Linked DNA regions of Tamandua tetradactyla. The protein of the gene in region 2 interacts with the protein of the main gene of each other region in a pairwise test. Links are inferred from orthologs where the notes say so. Each region holds a gene or a part of one and is shown on either strand. Other genes may lie near its edges.

Evidence for each region.
Region 1: the proteins of KCTD9 (region 2) and NUP35 interact in binary tests that used the Homo sapiens proteins (3 or more experiments, as listed by UniProt). The two-hybrid records come from large-scale screens. The link is inferred for Tamandua tetradactyla from reciprocal best matches to the Homo sapiens genes KCTD9 and NUP35.

Annotation. Positions count from the first base shown.
Region 1 is NC_135329.1:156,020,465-156,031,977, reverse strand, and holds the start of NUP35 (nucleoporin NUP35), read right to left. Parts: upstream 4,162-11,513; 5' UTR 4,071-4,161; coding exon 4,031-4,070; exon of another isoform or gene 3,811-4,030; intron 3,595-3,810; exon of another isoform or gene 3,464-3,594; intron 2,930-3,463; exon of another isoform or gene 2,871-2,929; intron 1,848-2,870; exon of another isoform or gene 1,792-1,847; intron 993-1,791; coding exon 822-992; intron 434-821; coding exon 306-433; intron 1-305. UniProt on the Homo sapiens protein: Functions as a component of the nuclear pore complex (NPC).
Region 2 is NC_135329.1:26,402,309-26,413,184, forward strand, and holds the start of KCTD9 (BTB/POZ domain-containing protein KCTD9), read right to left. Parts: upstream 4,550-10,876; 5' UTR 4,294-4,549; coding exon 4,246-4,293; intron 1-4,245. Other genes in the region: CDCA2 (cell division cycle-associated protein 2), read left to right, coding at 6,102-6,162, 6,258-6,431, 7,491-7,645. UniProt on the Homo sapiens protein: Substrate-specific adapter of a BCR (BTB-CUL3-RBX1) E3 ubiquitin-protein ligase complex, which mediates the ubiquitination of target proteins, leading to their degradation by the proteasome.

The DNA of each region.
Region 1 (11,513 bases), about 130 Mb from region 2:
TCTACACATATATTAAGTAAGTTGGAAGTACTGGCACATAGATAAGATTGGTGTTTATATCTATAAACACCACAGAATTATCTATATGAGAAAAACATCTGGAGGTCTACTACATTTTTAAGTACATTTCAAGATAAACACAAGTTAAGGAGATTCTATGATAGATAAACTTAATGCTTACTCTGTGCAACAGTTACACTAAAACAGACTTTAGGGAAACATTTCAAATTATTGAAAAGTACTCACGGGACAGTTACATAAAAATATATGAAATTAACTGTAGATCATGAGGGTATATATATTACCTGTCTTCTTGAAGTTAAAGGGGTTGATCCAAGTCCTGGGCTGGAAATATCATCATATATACTTCTAACTGGTGGAGCTCCACTTTTATCTTTATGAGCTGGTACAACTGGTTGTGGTGGTGACCCACCTACAACGTACAAAAATAGTCAGGTAAGAAAATAAAAGAATCTTCAATTAGATTCGATAAAGTTTTTAAAAAAAGAGAGAAATTTTTTTTAAATTGCCCTTAAGGTGTTATTTGATATAAAATGTTCTTTCCTAACGGTACATAAAATAATGACAAGTTGTACAAACAATGGCATCTTTGATTAGATGAAATATAGCATGTACATTTTAATGAATGGTTCTTGGAATTAAAGAAGCTTATACTTATTACACCTCTATTCAAAGAGGCAATACTTGACTTTTTAAAATTAATAAATGTTTTGATGATAATGAAAGGTACACTATACTTTTTTAAAATTCTAGTACTTGTACTGTTATCACTATAAAACTACTGTAAGTAATTTACCTACCTGCAAGTAAAGGTGATCTCATTTCCATTACTCCTACTGAAGGGCCACTAATTGGACGAGGTTGTGGAGTCACTGGAGCTGGCAAATCACCCATTAAAAATCCAGGTAAGAACTGGGCATTAACTCCTGGCTTTGGAGAGGTGGGTGAACCCAGCATCATTGGTTCAGATCCTATATGAATCAAAAAAAACAAAAATAAAAGTTAATAACTTTTCTACTACAATAGCTAACAAAAAGATGCAAGGCTCTAGCATGTCATCTTGCATTAACAATATTAATCATCAGAGCAGTTTCTGTTTACATTTTTTCCACAAGTTTAAGAACTACACTTTTTTTTTGCACGGACAGGCACAGGGAATCAAACCCAGGTCTTCAGCATGGCAGGCGAGAACTCTGCCTGCTGAGCAAAAGTGGCCTGCCCACACCTTATTTTTAAATTAAAAATTAGCTTAACATCTAAAAAAAAAAACCTAATACACACTAATTTCTTTCCAGTTCTGGCTAGTTTCTACAGTTTGGTCGCAAACAAAACAGAGGATGGGTACACTATTTATACAAGGTCTTAGCAAATCAGACACATGCATTTAGCTTGGCAAATGCCCCACTCCTTTTTCCCCATACACAAAAAACAGCAAAGCATTTTTATGATAAAAGTGTAAACATTAGACAACTAATGCAATAATAATGATGCCTAATATCCTAACTCAGAAACACATTTAAAAGACTTGGAATGTTTTTCTATCATTTTAAAAAATAAATAATTTTAAAATAATTAATGTTCACAACAGTGTAGGCATTATTACTGGTATTAAAAAGACGAAGAAATAATATTGTAATTTCAGAGCAAAATAGTAAAGAAAAAATAGACTTTAGTGTCAGAGACCTGGTTCAAGTTCTCTGCAAAATAGTGTAGTATAGCACCTATGCCGTGTTTTTTTTTTTAGAATAAGACACTAAGTAAAGCACTTACCAGTATCTAATCAGCAGTAAGTGTTCAACAAATGTTATTATTATTCTAGTAGTAATCTATAATAGCAAAAATTGAGTGATTAATGTACAAATGTAAAATCTCCAATTCCTGCTTATGAAAACTTAATTTTTAACTATGTGACAAGCCTGAATGTGATTCATAGCACTCAAAAGGATCAAATGTTTTTTACATTATTCACAGGCTTTTGATACACTTTTCTTTAACTTTCAAATATTTGCTTCATTTTATCCAACACCTATCAATTATTTATTCTCTCATCTCCCACTATAACAGAACTAGTGTTTTACAATGCAAGTGTGTAAGAGGAAAAAGGCAAATTCAGGAAAAGGATAACATAAATACTGAAATAAGATGTGAAGAACTATAATTACATTGCAATTATTTTAACTGTTAGTTACTATGTTACTATTACCCATTTCCAAAGAACATATACTAAAAGCAAGCCAAAAGTGAAAGCAAAAGCTTAATTAAGGTGACACTTCGCTAATTTTTTTAAGAGGCTTTTTAAAAAATTCTGAACAGACATTTTAAAAACCACAGTAATAAACACAAAGTTTTATGTAACACCACCAAATACCATCACTACTCCATCTCCTAAAGAAACAATTTATAAAGATTGTAAGAATTAAGAAAAGTTCCAATATACATAAGTATATATTATGATACACTAGAAAAAAGAGTCAGGAGGACCAAATGGTCTCCTAATCCTGGCTCTGTCACTAACCACCCCTCAAAAGCTGAATTCCCCTTAAAAAGCTTAACCAATTTCTAAGCATCCTGTATGTCTTAAATTCCATTTCAGTCTGTGCTCCCAAATGAAAGTACTATGTTACTCAGTTAGCAGTTTGTTGAAGTAAACCTTTACTTTTAATATACTATTAGATGCTGGGAAAATGTTTATTCCTCCCCTCAACTATCTACAATATGTAGACTTGAAGAATTAAAATCAGTTTTAGCAGATTTCTAGCCAGGCAATAAACAGGGTTTCATTAATCTTTGTAACACCAGCAACCATACACTCCAAAATGTTTTTGATAAACAAACAAACAAAAAACAACCTGCAGCTGGAACTACATGGTTTTCTGATCTCTAAAACTCAGGAAAAGTAAATACCTAGACCAACATCCGTACAAAAGTCTAAACGTAGCAGTGCTTGCATTATTGACGTTATACATTTTGTTTGTAATGAGACTAAAACTAAAATAGTTTACATAACTCCATACTCAAACGAAATATTTTGCATAAAAGCTATGGCAAGCATAACTTGTTCTTTAAATCTAAAAAGCCCATTCTCCACAATATATATCACTTCTGCTCTTTTCTAAACTCGAAAAATCATAACCTAATTTTCAAGTAAGTCTACGATATTAGGCGGTCTGTTCTCTCCTAAAATTTCTGACGGTTCTCACACGACACACGACACAACAAAAAGGGGATCAGCACCCTGATGACTTGGTAGACTCCCTTCAACGACCGCACATTTCAAGGCTACCCAATAAATATCAAAGGTGGATTCGAAAAGTCAGATAGTGACTAATTCGAGGAAATGACCTACAAACTAAAAGTCAAAATTTTCCCAAAATAAAGGCGGGAAAAAACATGGGAACTTCAGGCTTGCTAGTATAATCAATATCCCAATAATTACCATCACCTGATTGATTAAATGTCGCAAGACTCAAACTTCCATTAACCACAGACTCCTTTTTGCAAAGCCCGAGAGCGTCCTCAAATTAACAAGAGAGGGAGGGAATGAAAACAGGAACTAGAAACCTAGGTGACCAGGCGCGGTCGACAGCAACCAGGCACTCCAGGGCGCCGCCCACCCACGTGTATGCGAGTCAGTTCCTCCCCACCGACGCTTCCGGGGATCCAGGAACCCACTACGCCTCTCCCGTGCGAGTCGAAATTCAGGAAAGGACCAGTGCGGCGCTGCCGGCATGTGGAAGCACAAAATCCTACCCAATCACCACGTGACAGCCGTTTCTTCACCCTCTCCAGGGCCCGCGGAATCCCGGAGCCACCTTGACAGCGGAGTGGTGTCTCAGTCTCCGGCAGGAAGGGGACTAGGAACGCGAGGCAACCAGGGGCTCCCTCCCCCTTCTCGACTGAGGCTAGCGGACCAGAGCCTGAAGACCACTACCTTACAGGCTTGCTTGCCCGCTTTCAGACCTGAGGCGTGGATCGCAGTGCCAGCGAAAAAAAGCACTTTTTCACTCACCAAGTGTGGGCGCCTGGGGTTCCACGGCAAAGGCTGCCATCGCAACGGCAACTACACTTATCTTAGGACCTTCACGATTTTCAAAAATGGCGGAAACTCTCCCCACGGTAGGAGCGCGCTATCTTATGGAGTGGCGTAACTTCCGGACATGCGCTTGAACATTTAAATTCTTGAAACCCGAACCGCCATTTTTGCATAGGGCAACGTCTTGCGCAGACTCAACATCTCGATGGTAACCCAGCGTGAAAACTGATTTTGAGAAGGTTCTACTCAAATTATCAGTCCCTTGATTTACCGACGCTTGAGTTTTATAGAAACACGGTTCTCTTTTTTTCAGTTTCATGATTAGTGTGAGTTTACCCAATTATCTGCCACCTGTTAGCTTTTCCAAGTAACACCTGGAAAAGTTAGCTTGATGAAATAGTTTGTGTCTCTTTCAATTGTCAATTTCTGGGCTTAATCTTTTTTTTTTTTCCCCCTGGGCTTAATCTTGAGGCTCCATTTTCAAAGCATATTTTCTACCATCTCTATGTCCTTCTGGCTTTGTTTTTCAATCATAAAAGCACATTACATAACTCATGCAATGTTTTATTGAATATTAATTTTGATACATACAAAAGAATTTAGGTAACAAACGTATATATAAATATGTAAATAATTGAGGAGGTGATAAATAACAGTGAGCCCACCACACTGTGGAACCCCGTGTGTCTAGTCCATGCCCTGCCTGTTCCCCTCTTCCTTCCACTGCTACTTTCATTAGAGTGTATGCTCATATATACACACACACACTCAACACGTTATATATATGGCAAAAGGGATTTTTATATACAGGTGTGTATAAAAGTAAGTTTTGCTTCTTTACTGACTTTAAAAAAATGATGTACTATATCTGAGATGATGGTATGGTAGCCCATGACAAACTCTGGGATCTGTCCTGTAACTACTTGTTGAAGAGTGCTTTGAAAACTATTGCTATTTTTATTTCTTTGTTTGGTATATATGTTACATTATACAATAAAAAAGTTTTTTTAAAAAATGATGTACTACATGCATATATTCTGGGATCCTCTCTTGTCTGCACCACACTCATTCTTCTGAAATCCCCACCGGTCCTCCATCACCATTTCATCTGGGACTTCCTAATATCCCAGAACCAGGAAGAGTTTCTAATTGGAGTGAGGAAGTAACAATTCCAGCATTAAATAGCAAGTTCCCAGAAGTCAAATATTAAAATCACTTACAGATTGATTTGCCATTTTTTAACAAGCTCCATAAAATAACACCCAAAGCAAACTTGCCTTTCTAGAGCAGGAGGCAGAATTTGTTTACAGAACTGGTTGACAAACGTAAAAATTAGTAATATACTATGCTCTCATGGATAAGGAAAGTGGCACTTTTCAAAGCCGTGAAGATAATTTATCAAGACTTATTAAATTTTAAATATTATTTCTATTCTTTGACCCAGAGTATTACTTTCCTATTGTTGCTGTAACAAACTACCACATACTTAGTCACTTAAAACAATACAAATCTATTTTCCTGCATCTCTGGAGGTAAGAGATCTGAGATGAATTTTATGGGGCTAAAATCAAAGTGTCAGCAAGACCAGTTTCTTCTGTAAGCCTCAAGGAAGAGTCTGTTTCTTTGCCTTTTCTAGCTTCTAGAACCATTTGTGTTTCTTGATTTGTGGCCCCTCTCTGCATCTTCAAAACCGGCAGGTAACTCTGCTTCTTTCTGCTTCTATCATCACTTCATCACATGGCCTTCTGTAGTAAAATCTCCCTCTACTTCCCTCTTAAAGGACATTTGTGATTACATTAAGGGCCAAAGCATATCATGCAGAATAATCTCTCCATTTCAATATCCAGTTAAATTGATCAAACCTCAAAATAAACTTACCCAACCAGAGACTTCCAGGGAAGATGGTGGAGAAAGGCACTTGGGACTCAGACCTTCCACCAAAACAACTATTAAACAGACAGAAATTACCTGAAACAACTATTTTGAAACCCCAAAGGCCAGAAGAACTCCATACAGCATCCAGGGAAGAGCAGGATGAAGAGACTGATAAATGACAATAAAGAATGGTAAATTGCTCTCTCTGTGCAGCAACTACCTGAATTCATCCCTCACCTTCGTGGCAGGCCATGGCCAGGTACAATCCCTGGCTAGCTGCTGGTGACAGAAAAGGACCTAAAAATCCTCTTCCCCAAGAACAGTAGTAGACAGAGCCTATCAATGATTGCAGCTTTTGATTAGCATATTCAGATTGCTGGTTTCCAGCTAGGAAGGCAGCTATTGTTTCAATCTGCCCTGGAAAAAGGTGGTGACAGCCATTGTTTCAAACCCACCCTGAGAAAGGATGCAGCAGCCATTGTTTCACCCTCCCTGGAAAGGGATGGAGATGGTAGACATTTAATGACACTGTGGTTCCCCAGGACTGTTGGGGACAGTTAGCTAAAGGATTGCATTTGTTGAGCAGGACAGGAAACTGCAGTTTTTGGAACCATCAGAGAGAATTTTGGTACCCTTCCTGATCATCTCCCCAGGGCATTTTGGAGACAATCTGTGCCACTTTAGTAGGTCCCCCCACCACCACCTGTATTGGCTGGGAAAGAGTGACTTAGAAAAGTCCCCACTGGGATGACCATCCTCACAGAATTTGTCCTCCAGGCAAAAGCAGCATGAAAAAAAAAAAAAAAAAAAACAAGGAATATAAAATATTACAGAGGCAGACACCCTGGAAAAAAGGACTACTGGCTTCAAGTACCAGTGAGACTGATGTCTGTCTCCTGGGTGGAAGAGGTAACAACCAAACTCCTGTAAATAACTGGAACTCCAAAAAACTAACATGCAAAAGCCCAGGATGAAAAGAGGCCCAGAAAGACAGGGAAAACCTTGCACCCTGCATTTACCTTGAGTAAATCTTCCTCATAGGAGTGCTGAAGCTCAAGAAGGTCTCAGCTTTATCAACACCTGCTTAAAAAACCAAAAAGCTGACATCATAGAAAATAAATCCCAGAGGTAACGTTTCAAAATATTAAAATGTACAATGTGGACACCAGCCCTCATGTTAGCACTTCAGGATGACCCACACTATGGAAACACTGGTATAGGTCTTTAAAGGAACTTCAGTAGCACAACTTATGGATATTTTTGGAGCTTATTTTTTAATAAAATGAACACAAGCCAAGTTTATTACAAATCCCTTGACCATTCTGAAATGTATGGAATCAGACAGCAAGATCAAGAAAAGTTGATGAATAGCAAAAATCAAGATCAATCATCATGTTCAGCATCCTTCTAAGCTGTTTGAGACCTTTGGGAGGGAGGAAAAGAAAGATGAGCCCTCTGCAATGTAGCCCACAGGTGGTCCAAAGGACATCCTACTGTAGCGCAAAAACCAGGAACGAGGCCATAGGCCTCCAGGAATGTTCCGCGAAGTTAGAAAACGCTGAGACTAAGGATCCCCAGTTTCGGGAAGTAGGTTTTATTAGCTCTTGTGCAAGAGGGCCCAGCTAAGTCACCTCAAAAGTCTGAGCCCTGAACAAAAGGCAACCTTAGCTTTTATAGACTTTTTGACATGTTAAAGACAAGGTACACAATTGGCTGATTTAAATTGAGAATGGCCCAGAGCTGAATGGTTGAGGGGCCCCCCACCCCAGGAATGTCTTCTTTTGCCTATGTGCATTATTACCAGTTCCTGGAGGCTAGGGGAGGGGGTTTCTATACCAGGAAATGAACCTTATCTTATCTCACTTGCCTGCAAGGAGAGGGGGTTTTGGGATTTTCCACAGAGAGCACAGCTAAACCAGAAAGAGGGCAAGGTCTGCCTGCTACACTACTGAATAACAGGAACTCTTGGCCTGCGATAGCTTGCACCCCCTCATTTCCCATGCATTATGCAAAATCCATTGCTTATTTGCTTTCTTCTGTATCATTATTTATTGTCCAACATTAATGTTTTACAAATTAAAGACCAAAAAGGAGCAAATGTTCAAAAGATATTTTCCTGCTGAACAGAATTACTGGTAAATGAATAGAAACCAGCACTATCAATATCAGAAATATTTTTTTTTTCCACATGGCCAGGCACCGGGAATCGAACCTGGGTCCTCTGGCATAGCAGGTGAGCATTCTTGCCTGCTGAGCCACTGTGGCCCATCCAGAAATAATTTTAAATGTGTATAAAGCTATTGCTTTTTTCTCTCTTTGCTTTGTATATATGTTATATTTTACAGGAAAAGAAATTTAGAGCGCACAGGTGGTTCAGTGGTAGAATGCTTGCCTTCCCTGCGGGAGACCCAGGTTTGATTCCCGGATCATGCATCACCACCCCCAAAGAAAAAACATTTAAAAAATAATTTTTTAATGCCTATAAAGCACATAAAGTTACCTAGCAAACTCATACATTATAAAAATAGCCTGCCTCCATAAAACAAATTAAATTTTTAATTTATAGTTTTAAGTACTTTCTAATCCTACATGCTACCTGGCTGGGAGATGAGAAAGCCATTTCTTCCAGGCTATAAGGTACTATAAAAAGGTCCTCCAAAAATATTTACATCTTCAGAAACTCTAAGTCAAGAGTATTTTGAAACCTTAATTAAAAATTCAGGGTATATAGAATGTACAAGCTGTTTAAAAAAAGTACAAGACAAACAAAGAAATAGGAGGTAATGGCCCATCCAAAGGAATAGGATAAAGATTCAGAAAATACCAACAAAGACAACAAGAATGTGAATACACCAAACAAAGCCTTTTGAAAAAGTGATCTTAAAAATGCTTAGGGGGTGGACCACGGTGGCTCAGCAGGCAGAGTTCTCACCTGCCATGCCAGAGACCTGGGTTCAATTCCTGGGGCCTGCCCATGCCAAAAAGAAAATGCTTAAGGAGGGCAGTGCAACAGTGGAGCAGTGGCAGAATTCTCTCCTGCCATGCTGGAGACCCGGATTCAATTCCTGGAGCCTGCCTATGCCAAAACAAAACCTATTTTTAAAAAATACTTAAGGAAAGTACAGAGAAAGAACTAAAAGATATCAGGAAAACAATGAATGAATAATATGAGAGTCTAAGTAAAGAGGCAAATTTTAAAAGGAACCAAATGAACTATTAGAGTTGAAGACCATAATAACTGAAATGAAAAATTCCCAGGAGGGTTTCAAGAGCAGATTGGACCCTGATAAATCCCACAGTAATTTTTTTTATTAATTAACAGAAAAAAAGAAATTAACCCAACATTTAGAAATCATACCATTCTACATATGCAATCAGAAATTCTTAACATCATCACATACATGCATGATCATCGTTTCTTAGTACATTTGCATCGGTTTAGAAGAACTAGCAACACAACAGAAAAAGATATAGAATGTTAATATAGAGAAAAAAAATAAAAGTAATAATAATAGTAAAAAAAAAAAAAAACCTATAGCTCAGATGCAGCTTCATTCAGTGTTTTAACATGATAACTTTACAATTAGGTATTATTCTGCTGTCCATTTTTGAGTTTTTGTATCTAGTCCTGTTGCATAGTCTGTATCCCTTCAGCTCCAATTACCCATTATCTTACCCTGTTTCTAACTCCTGATGGACTCTGTTACCAATGACATATTCCAAGTTTATTCTCGAATGTCGGTTCACATCAGTGAGACCATACAGTATTTGTCTTTTAGTTTTTGGCTAGACTCACTCAGCATAATGTTCTCTAGGTCCATCCATGTTATTACATGCTTCATAAGTTTATTCTGTCATAAAGCTGCATAATATTCCATTGTATGTATATACCACAGTTTGTTTAGCCACTCTTCTGTTGATGGACATTTTGGCTGTTTCCATCTCTTTGCAATTGTAAATAACGCTGCTATAAACATTGGTGTACAAATGTCTGTTTGTGTCTTTGCCCTTAAGTCCTTTGAGTAGATACCCAGCAATGGTATTGCTGGGTCGTATGGCAATTCTATATTCAGCTTTTTGAGGAACTGCCAAACTGTCTTCCACAGTGGTTGCACCATTTGACATTCCCACCAACAGTGGATAAGTGTGCCTCTTTCTCCGCATCCTCTCCAGCACTTGTCATTTTCTGTTTTGTTGATAATGGCCATTCTGGTGGGTGTGAGATGATATCTCATTGTGGTTTTGATTTGCATTTCTCTAATGGCCAGGGACATTGAGCATCTCTTCATGTGCCTTTTGGCCATTTATATTTCCTCTTCTGGTAGGTGTCTGTTCAACTCTTTTAGCCATTTTGTAATTGGGTTGGCTGTCTTTTTGTTGTTGAGTTGAACAATCTCTTTATAAATTCTGGATACTAGACCTTTATCTAATATGTCATTTCCAAATATTGTCTCCCATTGTGTAGGCTGTCTTTCTACTTTCTTGATGAAGTTCTTTGATGCACAAAAGTGTTTAATTTTGAGGAGCTCCCATTTATTTATTTCCTTCTTCAGTGCTCTTGCTTTAGGTTTAAGGTCCATAAAACCACCTCCAATTGTAAGTTTCATAAGGTATCTCCCTACATTTTCCTCTAACTGTTTTATGGTCTTAGACCTAATGTTTAGATCTTTGATCCATTTTGAGTTAACTTTTGTGTAGGGTGTGAGATATGGGTCTTCTTTCATTCTTTTGCATATGGATATCCAGTTCTCTAGGCACCATTTATTGAACAGACTGTTCTGTCCCAGGTGAGTTGGCTTGACTGCCTTATCAAAGATCAAATATCCATAGATGAGAGGGTCTATATCTGAGCATTCTATTCGATTCCATTGGTCGATATATCTATCTTTATGCCAATACCATGCTGTTTTGACCACTGTGGCTTCATAATATGCCTTAAAGTCAGGCAGCGTGAGACCTCCAGCTTCGTTTTTTTTCCTCAAGATGTTTTTAGCAATTCGGGGCACCCTGCCCTTCCAGATAAATTTGCTTATTGGTTTTTCTATTTCTGAAAAATAAGTTGTTGGGATTTTGATTGGTATTGCATTGAATCTGTAAATCAATTTAGGTAGGATTGACATCTTAACTATATTTAGTCTTCCAATCCATGAACACGGTATGCCCTTCCATCTTTTTAGGTTTTCTGTGATTACTTTTAACAGTTTTTTGTAGTTTTCTTTATATAAGTTTTTTGTCTCTTTAGTTAAATTAATTCCTAGGTATTTTATTCTTTTAGTTGCAATTGTAAATGGGATTCATTTCTTGATTTCCCCCTCAGCTTGTTCATTGCTAGTGTATAGAAATGCTACATATTTTTGAATGTTGATCTTGTAACCTGCTACTTTGCTGTACTCATTTATTAGCTCTAGTAGTTTTGTTGTGGATTTTTCCGGGTTTTCAACGTATAGTATCATATCGTCTGCAAACAGTGATAGTTTTACTTCTTCCTTTCCAATTTTGATGCCTTGTATTTCTTTTTCTTGTCTAATTGCTCTGGCTAGAACCTCCAACACAATGTTGAATAATAGTGGTGATAGTGGACATC
Region 2 (10,876 bases):
GGCAGCATTGTAAATATAATGGCAAAATATAAAGAAAACAATTCAAATATCTATTGACAGAAGAAAGGTCAAACTGTGGTAGCAATCTTTTAGACAAAGGACTATGTTTTGTATAGTCCATTTGAAAGTGAAAAAACTATCATCTGAGAAATTATGGACAGAATCTTAGTAATAGCATACTGAAAGAAAAAGGAAGTTCCAAAAGACTACAAAATAGTATTTTTCTAAAGCCCCAAAGCTGACAAAACAAAAAACACAGCTTAGATATTAACATATATGTGGTAAAACTGATTTAAAAGAGGGGAAAAAACATAGCAAAGAGAAATACAAAATTTATGAAAACTTTTACCTTTGAGGGAGAAGCGGGTTGAGGAGGGCGACAGGAAAATGGATAAGCACATTAAATTCCTGCTAATATATTATTTCTTGTGTTGGGTAGCAGGTTTACTATGTTTTACACTATTTTTAAGTATATTAATATTCTATATTGTATTCTTTTGTATGCATTAAATGTATTTTAAAATGTTTATACCTAGAAATAATATTTACAAATAGTAACTGATAAGATTTTTAGTAGTGCATACATTTCCATAGGCAAAGGTTCACACAGATTTTACCTTTCCTCAACCCTAACAATATAATGGACTCAAACTGAATAGTTAATAGGAGCAAAACATTTTTTACTTAATTTCAAACCTAGAATAAAGGTTATTTCCTAGACCAAGAATGTAAAGATATAAAACAGTACAGAATTAAGATGTGTTTCATGTGCCACTTCGTCTGCAATGTCTGGCAGGGTGCTCAGATGCCACTCGCTGACTACACTGAGATGCCTACGTCTTTGTTTCAATTTCCTTAATACCAACTCTTAGTGACTATCAGAGAACAATGAGAAGTCTGAGGGATATGAAGAAAGGATAAAAGATGTAAGCATAACTGATTTTCACTGGAGCACTCTGAGTAACAAAAAAAAAATATTAAGGTCCCAATCAGTTAGATGTATGGCTTTCAAATGTTTTTAACCATGCACCCCATCAATAAAACATTTTGGGCCATGTGCTCAAATATATTTATTTACTTATAAGCTACACACTACCAGCAGAAAGAATGTTTCCCCACTAATAGGAGGATTTTTATCCACTTGTACTTTGAGGCTGCCAATAAAAAGCCTGGAAATATTTATCATCAAACAGTGAAATTCTGCCAAATATAAGACTAATTTTTTTTTTTTTTTAGATGCACAGTCTGAGAATTGAATCTGGGTCTCTCACATAGAAGGGATGCATTCTATCACCCATGCACCCCAAGAGTTTATTAAAAAAAAAAGAAAACAAAACTAAATATCTGAAGGCATTTGTCATCACGTGCTAGAAAATATTTTTGAATGTCTTGCTTATTGGGATGCCCTTTTCCTATCATTAGCTAATATTTCAAAGAACATTATACACTTAAGGAGGTATTTACTGTTAATAGCAAATATTAAATAGGACTTCAAAGTTTTCTTTAAAATTTGACTTTTTTTTGGCTTCTCATATCCAAGAGATAGACTGTTTTGTTTTTATTTCCTAATATATGGAGAAAGAATTTATACAAGAAGTGCCAGCTCTTGCCATTTTCTTTGTTTACTTGTGTTTGCATAATTAATATTGTATTCAATGTGCAGTTTCAATGAAGTAAATTTTAAAAGCCATTTGGGTTCTTGGTGAGGGTTAGTTTAAAATGGGATGATATAAACCTTAACCTGGCACTTGTTAACTTCAATACATCAATCAATGAAGAAGCTAATATCAACTTTTTCACATGTGAACGCTCTCCCTTTTCACAGAAGATCTGTTATCAGCTGACACATTTAGCGATTGAAGACACCTATGTCTTTCCAGGTAGGTAAAATCAAGCTTTAATATTTCTTATATTTTTAAGTAAAAAATATAAATAAAAGGTATAATATATCTTCCTCAACCCCAATGGATCATTTTGCACATCTTCTGTGGTTCACCATTGCATTCTGGAAACCACTGTTCACATCAAAAACATGTACTAGCTAGTGCGTATTGACTTAGTACACAAATAATTCATGGTTAGCATATGATATAGGCCTCAGCAACAACTCTGTGCATCCCCACTCTCAGGTTTCTTGGCCCCCTATGTGGCAAGTACTAAGTAAGTATTATGGGAGGAAACCTTACTTGAAAAAAAAAAATTATTCTCCTGAGGAGGACACAAAAACTGAAACTAGTTAAATAAGAAAACAATGAAAGTGATTCAGATATTCCAACTGGTGGATGGCAAATCAAACTCTTTGAAGCAGCCCTTTGCTTCAGCATGTTCTCAATGAACATTCATGTCATGATCATGCCAATCCTAACTAAGTATTCTCTCTATATAAAAAAGCAGGCTGTCAGGAAGTTATTCTGCATGCTTTGTCAAATAAGAATAATTATATTGTTTATTAATTAGCTGAAGGGTGAAGAGTAGAAACACCGACAACTTTTGCAATTCAGAGAAAAGATTTCTTAGAATATGCTCTCCACTAGAGTAGTATTGAAATACATGGCTTATTTTTAATATTGAATCTTACCAGTAATCTCCAGTTTATATCTGTATAATCTTTGAAATATAAACATTTATTTTTAATTGTTTCAGATGTATCTTTTCCAGTCTTTTGAGATTTTCTACTAAAATATTTTTAAAGTAAATAAAATATAAATTAGAAAATCTAAGCTAGTAAAAACTAAATAGCTTTAAAAATTGTTGTTAAAAATATTGAAAGACAACTCAACCAATCTTTGATGATCATAAAATTCAGGGCTTTCAGAAGAGATTTCGTGCATAGTATTTTTATGACTAGGTCTAAACATCTGCCTTTCATGGAGTAACACACCAAAGCTGTTGGATTAAAAAAAAAGTCAAACAGTGGTCTATTTTGAGAACATATTACAACTACAACTCCGCATATACTAAAACTTGCAGGACAATATAAATTTTAAATTACAGCAGTAGCTAACCATAAAAAAAGGGATAGAAAAAGTGAATAACGATCATAAATAATGTAAATTTTGTGACGTATATTTGAGTCAGTATTTATGGAAAACTCAAGAACTTGAATTCATGCCATTTCTGTATTTGTATGAGTATTAAATCTAAAAGATTAGAAGAATACAAAATTATGGTCAGCAAACTACATGGTGGTTAAGTTTGTAGAACATGTTTACTTGAAACTGCATAGTCGCTGAAAGCCATTTTTTATACCATGCCCTTTTTCACTATTTAAACATTTACAATGTTTCCAGAATATGCAGGGAGCAAAATCTTCTAGCAAATAATTCAGTGAGACTAACTTACCTTTACCTTAGAATCTAAGCCTAAACTACTTCTCCATATCATTTAGCCCCACAATACATTCTCTGCCTTGAATAGTCAAATTTTCCAAAGAAGCCGACCGACTTGCATGGGTGGGGCGAGAGGCTGAGAAGGAACAGGATTCATTTTGGCTTGCTGCAGCGTTGGAAAAATATTTAGTACCACACCCTCAATAAAGGCCTAACACAGCAAACCAGTCCATTTTGGTCTACTGGCACAAGTCCTCTAAGGAACTAAAATAAGGCGAAATAAAACAAGTACAGAAGTTTGACGCCAGCGAGACTAGGAGGATTGAAGCGCCTAAAAGAAAAAAAAAATCCTAATTTTTTATCCTGTCTTCTACCTAGTTGAAAAAATATTTTATTTAGCCACTGATAGCTGAGTTGTTTTTACCTAATCAATCTTACATGACTTAGTTATTACTACCACTTTCTGCAGCAGACCATTACTCAGCACCAAGGTGGAAACGAGCCCTGCGGGAGCCCAGCGGGGCCAGGGGCGGGGGGAACGGGGTCTTCGGGGCCATGTGGGTGAGGACCCTCGGCACCCAGCGCGCAAGTGACAGCGGCCCTCCCCACGCCCTCCGTCCCCACCACTCTCCTGGACCCACATCCTAGATTTGAGAACGCTGAGGCAGAAGCGTGACCTGACCTGGGCCCCGGGGAGCTGAGGAGTTGAAGTGCAGGCCCCGGGATGGGGGAGGCCCGGGGAAGCGATTTTCACCTTCGGGACGCCCCCCGCCCGCGCCCCGGGAGCACGCCCACCTCCCGGCCCCTCTATCCAACTTCAGCCCTCTGCCCTCCGGCTCCCTGCGCGCCCATTCCGTCCTCCGCTGCCCTGGCCCCCCGCAGCCGGCCCCGCCTCGCCTCCTCCCGAACCCCTTACCTTTCCATTCTTGGGGCTGCCGTTAAGGAACAGGGTCACCCGCCTCATCGCGCTGCCCCCACCGGGTCCTGAGTGAGCCGCCACCCTCCCACCTTTTTCTCCTCCCACCTTTTTCTTCTCCCGCCCTGCCCCTCCCTCCACCCACTCGGACTCTCCTCCCTTCGCCACCTTCCTCCTCTTACTCACAGACACACACACGCACACAATCTCTCTCTGTCCCACACCCCAGGGTTGGCCGGTCCTCCTCCCCACCCCGCCCCTACGCTCCTCAACCTGCCTCGGGCCCTTCCCCCACCCTCCAAGACTGACTTTAACCTTCGCCAATCAAAGGGCAGGGCCGGCCAGAATTCAACCAATCATTGCCCGGCACTGGGCAGCTCACACCAACCCAGGCGGGGTGGAGGGAGGGGAGAAAAGCTGAAGACTAGTAGAGGGGAAGGGTTATCAGCCAATTAGAGCAGAACGGGGAGCCGAACCGCTGCTCAAAACATTATTGAGCAGGCGCAAACCCAATAATGGGTAGCGCGAGAAGAGTTTATTTGCATACGGAGGTGCGGTTTGAGGAAAGGAGGTGGGGCGCTCTTCTAGCGCTCCACCAGTCAGTGCCTCCCCCCTCTAACCCCGCCCACTCGCCCAACCCGCAGAGGAAACGGCTGCCGGCGGAACTGGCTGATTGGGTAAGCGCCAGCCCGTCATTCTCTCATGATTGGTCCAATGATTCTTTTCGAACTTTGTTGTATCCAACCGCAGGGTCGGGGGCGGTGCTCGTGGGAAGGATTACTCCGCGAGACTTTCCCAGAGAGTAGTCCCCACAGACACAGTTAAAAGCTGGTTTCTGTGGTGAGTGGGTCGCTCGCAGCTAGTGGTGGCTTCTCTTCTAGCGCGGGCAGCCACTCCTCTTCCCGAGTCAGAGGACGCAGAAGCTTGAAGGAGCCCGGGGTGTGAGTAGACACGTGCGGTGGTGGCGGGCGTAGCGATTCGTGGAGGTAAAGTTCTGACGCCGAGGAGGCGGAGTCGGCGATTTGAATTGAGCGGCGGGCCGAGGCGGCCGCGGGGACGCTGGGCGGGAGGGTGGAGAGCGCGGCTACGCTGGGCTCGGATTTCGGGCGTCCGGAGCCTCCGGGGTCCGGAGGAGCTGGAGAGAAAAGTGGCCGTTATCGTGACGCCGCATTTGCCTCCTGATTTAGCAGGCAACCTTTGCTTTCTCGAGCGAAACCTTGAGGATGAAACAGCCGAGGTCTAGAAGGCATGATAGCTTCAAGAGATAGAAGACGTTATATCGGGCCCTCATCCTAGTTTTCCTGACGTCGATACTTGTCTGCTGCTGAGGTTGGGAAATAAGCCGAAGCGGGAGGAGACCGAAGTTACGAAGGTGAGAGGTAGCAAGTGTTGTGATTTGAATTTCAAATACTGGAGAACTGTGCTGTTTCTTGAGAGTGTCCTCGGTTTATCACGTCCTTCGGAGATAGTGGTCCTGATGCAGCCTGCTCGAGATCACCTGGGATGCTTTTAAAAATGCACATTCCTAGGTCCCATCCACATTGACTGAATCAAAAGTTCTGGGAGTCCACGGAACTGCAGCCTTATTAACGGGGTACCCAGATGATTCACATGTTTATTACGTTCATATCTGACCGATCAGATGTTGATAAGCCAGGGCTTATATGGGATGAGGTCTAATTTATTTCATCCTGCACAGTTTCCCCCATTCTTTTTAAATTTGAGCCCGAAAAGCACGCTTTTGACATCTGTTTTCATACCAGTATAGAATTGTATTGGAATTCAGTCTTGAATGAGATTTTGCTCTAATCACATTACGTTTGGGGTGGGGTTCTTCCCCACTCACCCGTTTTTAGATGGACACCAATTCAAAAGGCAAGGAACCTGAAATCAAGGAATCTGCTATTAAGAGCACTGGTATGTAGTGATTTTTTTACACTTTTATGAAATTTAAGGCTTAACTACTTGATGATAATGTTTTAGCCTCTACAATATATTGCTGTTTGTTTCAGAAGATACTTCCTTCATTTTTGCAAATGGGAAGCTTGTAACTCCTCAGAAGCATGAAGCAGAAGTGACTTCTAATTTTTGCACACCAGATACATTTAAATCACCTTTGAACTTTTCTACAGTAACTGTAGAACAATTAGGAATTACTCCTGAAAGTTTTGTTAAGGACTTGTCGGGTAAGATAAATTTTCATTCTAATGCACTGCTTTTAAAGTTTAAAAATAGCTAATACAATTCAACTGGTTTCCTCCACCCTGTCTGTACTATTATATTGTGCATCTACGTTGATTGACTGTACACTTCCTTACTGTAGAAGACTTTTATGTACCTGCACAGCAAATCTAGCATAGCAGGATACCAAGACACCTGACATGATAATCTTCCTAAGTCAGATTTGTGCCCTGTCTTCATACTGGGAAAGAATATGAATATTGTTCTCTTTTTGATCTGAAAGGTGAGGATTCAGGAGGATGCATGCTATCTATAGTAAAACATTTTATATTCATGAATGGCAAAAATAAAATTAGAAAGCAATTAAACGCTTAATTCCAAGGAGTAGAAATTCAACTGTGAAACTGATTTAGATGGAGACGGAATATGGGAATGGAGTTCTGTTAGCTGTATTCACAAATGAATGACAATGGGAAACTTGAAAGGCGTAGGGCACTAGACTAAGTAGGCAATATGTGAATAAAACAAGGTGGCATGTCATTCTGTGTACTCGTCTCAAAAACTTCACTCTTAGACCTAGATTCATTCTGTATGCTTAGATTTGGCCAAAATTCAGGGTGTTGTGCTGAAGGGGGATAGGAATCTAACAGAAGTGAAATTATCTTAAAGAATTATTATAAGAGTACATTCCCTAGATAGAGATCCTTCCCTTTCAGTCCTTAGGGATAAGGCTGACTGATTTAGAAAAAAAAGAAATTCTTAGTCAAAAGCAAGCCATTACCCCACCTCTGTGTTCAGGGGATAGGGAACAAAAATGAAAACCATTAATTAAAACGTGTTCATGTATTCATTCAACAACTATTTAATATAAGTCTTCTATGCAGGGTACGTCGAATAAATCAGTGGGCCAAAAAAAGATCTTTGCCAGTAATTCTCTGCTTAAATTTCTGTGATGTGTTTATCAATCTTGATTTCTCTATCAATCTTGTCCATTATAGGAATTTAGGACCTGATTACTGATAATTGCCTTGATTTGTTTTAATTTAAAAGAGTTTTCATTACAGGAAAGGCATCATCTTACCTTAAAAAATCCAGACGACGTTCTACAATTGGTGTTCGGGGCTCTCCTGAAACAAACCATCTGATTTGCTTCATTGCTCAGCAGCGGAATTTAAAGAGGACTGAAAAATCTCTTTTGGCACAGGATTCCCCTTTTCAGGTAGGATTTTCCTAGTTCTGTATTGAATTCTAGGGAGAATGTTTTGCTGTTTCATCAGATTTTTGTACAATGTTTCTACCTATAAGTGCATCTCGATTGTTTTGCGTCTGGAGTGATAGTATTTTCTCTCTCTTACAGAGAATGGGTAGTCAGTATAAATATTGATACTGAGCATGAGTATATCAGAGTCATGAGAATGTTGGAGAGAAATGACTTTCTAGAGGAGCTTTCTGTATTTTGTAAATTTTTTTCTGCTTAATGTCTGTTTTTCTATAGTGAGATGAGTCAGTGTCTTCCAATCTCTGTCTTTTAATATGTTGTCTGTAACGGTCTAATTTTTAATGCCTACTCTGAGTTGGAATTTAGGGTCAGTAGTCACCCAAGAACAGATTTGGGATAGCCTTGTAGAAGGTTGTGAATTATTTGTATGTTGATGGGGAAGTATTTAAATACTTTTTCAAATGCGCATCAAAATAACGCCTATTCTGGAAAAAAGCAAATAGTACAGGCTTGTTATGAAAGACAAGACTAGCTTACCCTTCTTGAAGGAAAACTTTTTTTTTCAATTAGAGAAGTTGTGTGTTTATGGACCAAGCATGCATAAAATACAGGATTCCCATTTGCCACCCCATGACTTATACCTTGCGTTGACATGGAACTTGATGAAAAATTATTAAAATAGGACTATTGACTGTCGTCCAGAGTTTACATTAGGTATATTTTTCTCCATATATCACCCTGTTATTAACACCTTGTACTAATTATAATTCATGAAAGAAGATTCTTGTATCATAAACTATTGTCCATCATCTACAGTAAGTTTCACCATCCTATATGGCCCTATGTTTTATCTTTTAAATTTTATTCCGGTAACATTTCATTTAAATATTGTCTAAAATTTCCCCTTTTAACCACGTTCACCTATATATTTGAGAGTTGTAATTATATTCACAATTGTGTGATACCATCACTAACATCCATTTCCAAACCTGTACCATCAATCTGTGCAAATTAAGCATCAATTCCTCATACACTGACCCCAGTCTATCCACTTGTAATCTTTATTCTAGATTCTAACTATGAGTTTACTTGTTGTAATTGCTTCACGCAAGTGAGATCATACATATTTGTTCTTTTGTGTCTGGCTTATTTCACTCACCATAATGTCCTCAAGATTGATCCATGTTGTTGCATGCATCAGGATTTCATTCTTTTTGCAGGTGAATAATATTCCATTCTATGTACATACATAGGATATCCATCCATTGTTTAGTCATTCATCAGTTGATAGACACTTGGGTTATTTCTATCTTTTGGCAATTGTGAATGATGTCCCTATGAATATATGTGACAGATGTGTGAAGGTCTGTTTGAGTTCCTGCTTTCAGTTCTTCTGGATATAAACCTAGTAGCGAGATTACTGGGTCATATGGTTATTCTATATTTAACTTCCTAAGGAACTTCCAAACTGTCTTCTGCAGGGACTATACCATTTTACATCCCCACCAGCAATAAATAAGTGTTCCTTTGTTCTCCACATCCTCTCTAACACTTGCAGTTTTCTGGTTTTTTTTTTTTAATAGTAGCTATTTTAGTGTGATATGATAACTCGTGATTTTGAAATTGCATTTTCCTAATAGCTAGTGATATTGAGCATCTTTTCATATGCTTTTCAGCTATTTGTATATCTTTGGAGAAATGTCTATTCAAATATTTTGCCCATTTTAAAATTGTGTTGTTTCTCTTTTTATCATATATATTCAGGATAGTAAACCCTTATTGGATATGTAGTTTCCAAGTATTTTATCCCATTGAATAGGTTGTCTTTTCACTTTTATGACAAATTCCTCTGATGCACAAAAGTTTTTAGTTTTAAGGAGTCTATTTTTTCTTTTGTTGCTTGTGCTTTGGGTATAAAGTCTAAGAAACCATTGCGTAACACTAGATCCTGAAGATACTTCCCCACATTTACTGCTAGAAGTTTATCCTTGGCTCTTATATTTGTCATTGATCCATTTTTGAGTTAATTTTTGCATATGGTATGAAATAGGGGTCCTCTTTCATTCTATTACATATGGATATTCTATTCTCCCAGCACCATTTGTTGAATAGACTATTCTTTCCCAATTGAGTGGAATTAAGGTAGCCTTGTCAAAAAATCAATTGGGACATACATGTGAGGGTCTACTTCTGAACTCTCAATTTAATTCCATTGGTCAGTATATCTATTGTGCTGGTACCATGCTCCGTTGTTGTTGTTGTTGTTGTTTTTGTTGTTTTTTTAACGTGGGCAGGCACTGGGAAACGAACCTGGGTCTCCAGCATGGCAGACTTGGTAACTGCTACTGAATCACCATGGCCCACCCACCATGCTCTTTTGAACACTGTAGCCTTGTAATATGCTTTAAGGTCAGGAAGCGTGAGTCCTCCAACTTGGTCTTTTTTTTTCAAGATGTTCTTGGCTATTCAAATGCCTCTTACCCTTCCACGTAAATTTGGTATTTGACTTTTCATTTTTGTAAAATAGGCTGTTGGAATTTTGATTATTGCCTTGGATCTGTCATCATTTTGGGTAGAATTGACATCTTACTGATATTTAGTCTCACAGTCCAGGAACACAGAATGTCCTTGCATTTATTTAGGCCTTTGATTTCTTGTGGCTGTGTTTTGTAAGTTTTTGTGTACAAGTTCTTTACATCTTGGTTGAATTTATTCCTGGATACTTGATTCTTTTAGTTGCTGTTGCAAATGGAGATTTTATCTTTTTTTTTTAACCTGTCTTTAACTGAAACCTTGTTAGTTGGTTTGCGCAGAGTTCTGTGCCTAGACAACCTTTCTATTTGGCTTTGTATTTTAAGTGACTAGCTGGTTTTTGTCACTAAAGAAGTAAGGGTTCTCTGGGTCTCATGAAATCACAGATATTTAACTGGAAAGAACCAAAAAAGAGTCATGTGAGAAAGAGGATAATATTTGAGCTATTATGTAATTCCCGGGACTTTTATTCTGGCCCACTGGGATGAACTAGAGATGAGTAATGAGACTAGCTTGGATTAAAATAGGTGCGCTGAAATTTACAAGTGGCAAGGCTTCATGCACTGGTATTATCACAATATATAATTTGTACATACTTTCAGCTTACTTTTAGCACAACCTTTGGTAAAATTTCAGAACAATTGGGTCCTTTCTGTCCCTTCTTTCCCTTATCTCCACTTATGCCTTCCATATATTCTC